Tribolium castaneum: one gene and its partner. The protein of the gene in region 1 interacts with the protein of each later gene in a biochemical or structural test. Links are inferred from orthologs where the notes say so. Each region holds a gene or a part of one and is shown on either strand. Other genes may lie near its edges.

Region 1 (3,585 bases):
CATTCGAAAACTCTAATAATGTTATTTTTAGAATGGATTTACTTAATTCGCGAGATTATGATTTGCGATGAAAAACGTCACACACGTATTTGGTATTAGTTTTGCAACTAATAAAATATATACCTGAACAGCGTTCATGAAGTCATTATAACTAGACACGGGCAATATTCGAAAGAGATAATTAAAGAAATCGGCTTGGTCAGATGCTTCTACAGCACCACGTGCAATCTATAGAAAACAACTAAAATTGTGCAAAAATTTACAAAACATTAAAACATACCAACTCGGAAGTCTCCGCCACTGTATTATGGTGTTTGATTAGCATACTCTTTGGTCGATTTGGACGAGATCCGTCCCCGGATTTAATCATCGATGGCACCATTGCTATTTCTTTATAAAAATCGGGATGTTTGGTATTAATATACGCCAATTCGATTTGCACTAAATTTTCCACCATTTGGTTGGTCGTCGGAAGACGTCTCCGCAATAACTGTGTTACAACATCTACGATTTTTTCGTACAGTTTGGGAAACCGCAGCATTTCTTGCTGCACTTCGCTTCCACAATGCTAAAAACGGACACTGAAGCACAACTTTGGGGAAAACGTTATTAATTACTTGTATAATACGTTGCATTTCTTCGTGGATTAATTCAACGCAACGCAGTGATGGTTCTTCAAGACGTCGGATTTGCCTCTTGACTAGTAATTCGAAGGAAACTTCCGGGACGAAAAGGGCAGGTCGAGGCCCATTTGCATTCCGAATGGCGGTTAAAATATCCATTTTTGTCAAACCGGCCAAGGGGTGGATCGAGTCTAAAGTCCTCCCGAAAGTCTCGTGAAAAATGTAGCAAATTCTCGCCCCTCCACACAATTCAGTCGTTTCAATGTTTCGGGCAGTGCCTTCAATTGTGGAGCAGTAAGCTGAGGCGAATTTTGTGATAATCTGGAGCAAAGTTTTGCTCTTATCGGAAATATCTTCGCCGTATGAGTTAAGCAGTGATTGGAACTGGGACATCATTAAGTTCACGCGAGTCTGAAACGCTTGTTACTTTACCAAATCAAGCTAATTTGTACAAGACTTACCTTCAAGTCAGGTAAACAGTCTCTAATGTGGTGCATTAAAAGCCTATTTAAGGTTTTGGCAAGGTAGGGAGTACCGTTGCGAGTGGCTAAAGTGGGATATTTGCTTTGTAAAAATGTCGCTTCGTCTTTTAAGGCCTCTTTTATCGATTTGTTGTTCATAATATCTTGTTGTGAGCGATTTACGACACCGATTATGCCTAATTTTACTGGAATAACTCGGCCGCAAAGAATATCAATGGCGTCAGTACCTAGAATTTTTTTTCGTAATGTTATCATTAAGAAAAGCAAAATAAAAACCTGCGTCCATTAAGTCAAGTTTCGTAACGACAGCCAATGTTCTGCGACCATCAGGATCAACATCTTTCGCGATTGCTAAGCTTTCGGAAGTCGCCATGTCTGTGTTTGCCGTTACTACAGCTAATATTATTGAATTTGGATTAGCGATGTATTTTAGGACTAATTCGCGAATTTGTTGTTCAATGTCTGGAGGCTGGTCTCCGACTGGTACCTTGGTAATGCCCGGTAAATCCACTAAAGTTAAATTCACAACCTTTGTAGAGTAAATTTTCAAATTGATGGGTTCGGCACAAATGCCTTTGTTACTTCCAGCAATTTTGTTGGTCTCGTTCTCGATTTCCTGACGGATTTCTTCAAAGTCTTTGAAAATTTTGCTTTTGCAATGTAGAAAAACGCCCCACTCTTCCACATCCATTGTCCCTAAAAGTCATTGTGTTTTAAACACAATACAAACGGTATTTTTCGATATTGTGCTTTTTTTTCAAGTGAATTTTAGTAATAAAATAAAACGAAAAACAAAACATAACTCTTTACGCTCTATCAAAATTGTGATTAGAATTTATTGTGCTATAAAAAGCAAAAACACTACTGTTATGATTAATTAATAATTTAGTTTACAAAATAAAATATAAATATAATTAATTGTAACTAAAATGTAATTAAATTTACCGTTCTATCATAGTTAATAAACTGGAAATTTGGATCAACATATGCTAGTTTTAAGGTAAAAGGTTCTTAACATTAAAAAAATGTAAAAAGAAATTTTTCGTAAAATTTACATAGTTCGGAAATGACAAAAATCACAATTTTTTGATAGGAAATATTCTTTTGAAACAATTGTCATTCATGAAAAGAAAATATTTTCATTATTTTCAATTATATTTGTCAATCCGTATTGGTATTGTTGTGTATCACTATTATTATTACCATTAATTCATTAATTGATTGATTTATTGTTATCATACTCATAGTCTGAAGTGCACTTCTACTACTTAGATTAAAAAATTGATAATAAAATCACTCAGGAATAAAATAAAACAGAAACTTTTTTCTTTAAAAAAAAAGTCTAATTCCGTAACAGTTGTTTTTTGTTTCCATTTTAGAAATCTGTTGCCCGACTCACCTATTGTTCTGAAGACAAAATTTTATACAATAGCTTGTAACTATCATCCATAAATTAAAGAGAAATTGTTCAAGAGAATGTAGAGATTTTTGATAATTAGGACAGATTTCTAGAAACAATAATGTACTGGTAAATTAGATCAAAACTTTTAATTAAAAAAATAAGGAAAACAATAAATAATAATAGCAAAATGATTAATTTTTTTTTTTGAATTCTAATTTCAAAAGATTTCTTATCACTCGAGGATTTTTTCTCGAACAGTTATTTTTTGTATGTACTACATATGATCGAATAAAATCACTGCTTGAGTATACATTTTTTTAAACAAAATCTATTACAAACTTTGATGTGACTTGAAAAAAAATGGTTAAGTTTAACGTTTAATAAACCATTGTTTGTGGTAAATTTATTGTTTTTTTTTCGAACTTATGAGTCTCCGGTTTTTTACGTTTTAACGTAATATTATGTTTGTGTTTTTTCCTTCATAATCTCAATTGTGAATTGAAAGAAGTACTGATGGGCTTTTTCACTATTTGTTCCGACTTCAGCTGAATGTTGGAAAAATAATAAAAACTCAACCATCGCAGGCTAGTGTTATTGGTGGTATTAGATTGTTTTAGGTGACTTTCTATGTGCTCTGAAACTAATAACAATTGGCCACAAAAGTGTGACGTCATTTGATAGTCAATATTGCCAATTTAATTTTAAAATCACAGTAAAATAGTGTACTACTTTAAAAATATGCAATAAAATATCCGTATGTGGATTTTAATTTTAAGAATGTTATAATACAAGCATGAAATAAATAAGCATGAGCACAGTTAAAACGGGTCAACAAATAGTAGAAGTGGCCACGAAATCCATACTTGGATTCCTTTCATATTCAGTAGTGTGAATCATTAGATTACTTTTTATGATAACGTACCCAAGTAATTTACATTTTGACAAACAAATAGCTAAACAAAACTACATTTTTTCAAATTTTAACGTTTGGAATCAACGAATCACAGCAGTTTACTTACCATCGATTGCAGCTCTGTGCTCCCTATCATCCTTAGGACAATAAACTAATTGTAAAATA
Region 2 (2,901 bases), about 6.1 Mb from region 1:
GAAGCGAAGCCGATTTGAAAACGAAAGTAAACAACGAAAAAAGTGTACCTACCTTGGAATAAAAATAATAAAAAAATGTGGAACATTTTACTAATTTTACGGATCTAATACAAGAAAAAATAAATCGGGAAAGTGAAATTTATTACGTGTTTTCACATTAGGAAAGTTACTTTACGAGTAAGATATAGGTTGTTTAAAAATGTGCTTGTCCTTGTGGCCAAAAAATCTCAAAAATTTAAAAAATCCAGGCTACTGACTCAGATAAATTAGTGACATAGCTGTAGTGAAAAATATCCATATTTTACAGGAGACATATTTCCGACTTTTCTCATGAAAAAAATAATTTTTAAAAATTATAGTTTTGGATATTTTAGCTCTAAACTGTATACGAGTACTTACATACTTAACATGGTGATTTATTGGTCGATTTTTTGTTACAATTTTTTTCTCAAATAGTTTGTTGAAGCTGTTTTTTCCTTTTCTGTTCTCCATAAGGTAAAAAGTTACGATGAATTCGAAATAATTGGTGTAAGTAAACGCAAGTATACCATAGGATTGTAAATGAAAAAAATAGACATTTGGTCAATTCAGATTTAAGATCAAAATGGTAATAAAAAGTGTTTGTATAGATATTTCAAATCAATGCAAAGCTTGGTTTGACAGCTATGCAACCAAATATACAAGTGTATTGTGGTGAAGATAATTTCAGCATATTTTAGATTTTCTTTAGAAAAACACAATATTTAGATAAAACTTTATTATTTATTTAGCAATATACAGTGATTTATGACTAAGAAATTAAACTAAACTTAAAAAATCAATGACAACCTATTCACAGCTTGCATAATGGTGACAGTCTACACAAGAAGTAATGAGCAAAATATACATTCTTCACCTATTGACTTCTTGTTTTAAATTACACAAATACACAAATAATTTGAAATGAAAAAGTCCTTATAAAAATAGCGTGTGCCTTTTCGAGTGTTACATTTAATTTATCCAAGTTTGAACCAAAAATTAAATGCCAATTAATAAAACAAGTGATAACACAGACTCATGTAATCACGAAACAAACACAAAAAATACAATTTGGTACAAGTAAAAATGGTAACACTATCACATTTGATATGTGGGAAGCACTAAGACTTAACTTTGCTAGCTATAGCCATTCCCACGCCAACTATGGCACCCACAGCAAGAACAACCCCCCCAGCCATAGCCATTCCCACCAAGCCCTCTTTTTCCATTTTCTTCTTAATCGTTTGTTGTAAACTAATGACTTGCTGATTACCTAAAACAGCCAAGTTCCAAACCTTACATAAACATTCCAAAGTGCAAACCTGGCTCAATTAACAAAAATGACCTAACATAATTGAGAGCTTTGGTGTACTCCTTCAACCTCGCCGTCCCAATTGCTAAATAATACAGATAGTCCCGTTGGCCCTCTTCGTGTGTCTTGTACAAGTCCTCCAGCAGAATTATCCCTTTCTGTATGTCGGCAGGATACTTGCTCCTGACCAAACACCAAGCGTATTCGAACTGAGCTTTAGGCGTTACGTCGTTTTTGTACAGCTGTTCGTGGTAAATTTTCTCGAATTTCTGCAATTATCCTTGTGTTTATTAACAATTATGACTCATTGATAAGTTGACAGAGCGAATGGCGCACTTGGTGCGGTTCCGAAGGCGCTCACCTTTAGGTCGCTGGGTTCCACCGTTTCAGTCAAAACTCCTGCCATGTTCACCCTCACTTACGGATTTTCCTCAAGAAAAACAGTGAATGTCGAATGAAAATCGCATTTGATGACAACGTGAAAACTTCAATATTTATACTTCAGTGACCTCTAAATGCGATCCCAACACTCACAGCTGTCACGACAGGAAACTGTAACGCGAACCCGCAACCAACAATACTCTTTTTGAATTGAAGATTTTATTTCAAGCTTATTAATTATTAAACAACCCTACAGTTGAGTTCTTTCACTGGGTTTGGATAAACAGAAAACAACCCTTCAAGCGTCATCTCTCCAACCGGATGCTAAACTAAATATAGGGTGCAGTTCTCCAATTTGAAAAACACTGAAACCTTTATTTTTATCGATCAACAAATTAAAAAATGAGTATTATTTATTAAAAAAATGTTAGGGCTGCAAAAAAACACAAAACTGCTCGCAGTAAAAGGCGAAATTCAATAGAATTGATTCTGCAGATGTGCCAAGTGCTTACACAAACAGACGTTAAGATGAATTAGCTAATTTAATTAACACTTCAGTTAATTGCGAAGGATTATTATAGCACGGCTAAGCCAAATGCTAAACTCATGTAAAGTGATTCACACCATGTTTTTTTCATGTGGCGAGGTCATTTATGTTACGACATTTACAATTAAGTGTTTCCATCCATTCGTTGGTTTATAACTTTTTAATGCTGCACGTAAAACAAAAGTTAATGATTACAAGTACATATTTCAAATTATTTATAGAATTTTATAGTCTTAGGTATGGCTTGGGTAATGTGTTTGAAAGAAATTAGTTTTTCTTGCACAATAGAACTGAACTTAATTTGAACTAAATTCTTGCGTTGCTCTTTATTGATATAAAGACATCCAGATATGACTAAAAGAAATAAAAAACGCAAATAAAGATCTGAAATAGTTTATTTATTGTAAATATTGATAGTTAAGGTTAAAGTCATATGTACAAAACACTATGTTTATTTACAATATAAAATGCACTTTGTTTTTACACACAAAAATTACAAAAACATTCACTCTTTCTAGGTATAATAATTTAACTATGACTAGTTCATCAATTGTGTTCAGCACTAGACCACTTGAGAAAAAAACGGGAAATGTTACGTTTGGGAACGTGTTGGAAAGAAATCCTATTGGCGTAAACGGTCACA

The links.
Region 2: the proteins of Drp1 (region 1) and Fis1 form a complex in vitro, tested with the Homo sapiens proteins (2 studies listed by BioGRID). The link is inferred for Tribolium castaneum from reciprocal best matches to the Homo sapiens genes DNM1L and FIS1.

What each region holds. Positions count from the first base shown.
Region 1 is NC_087398.1:8,848,374-8,851,958, forward strand, and holds part of Drp1 (dynamin-1-like protein), read right to left. Parts: coding exon 3,527-3,585; intron 1,802-3,526; coding exon 1,382-1,801; intron 1,333-1,381; coding exon 1,085-1,332; intron 1,035-1,084; coding exon 618-1,034; intron 569-617; coding exon 281-568; intron 229-280; coding exon 124-228; intron 1-123. UniProt on the Homo sapiens protein: Functions in mitochondrial and peroxisomal division.
Region 2 is NC_087398.1:2,702,263-2,705,163, forward strand, and holds Fis1 (mitochondrial fission 1 protein), read right to left. Parts: upstream 1,866-2,901; 5' UTR 1,737-1,865; coding exon 1,692-1,736; intron 1,600-1,691; coding exon 1,341-1,599; intron 1,292-1,340; coding exon 1,140-1,291; 3' UTR 743-1,139; downstream 1-742. UniProt on the Homo sapiens protein: Involved in the fragmentation of the mitochondrial network and its perinuclear clustering. Plays a minor role in the recruitment and association of the fission mediator dynamin-related protein 1 (DNM1L) to the mitochondrial surface and mitochondrial fission.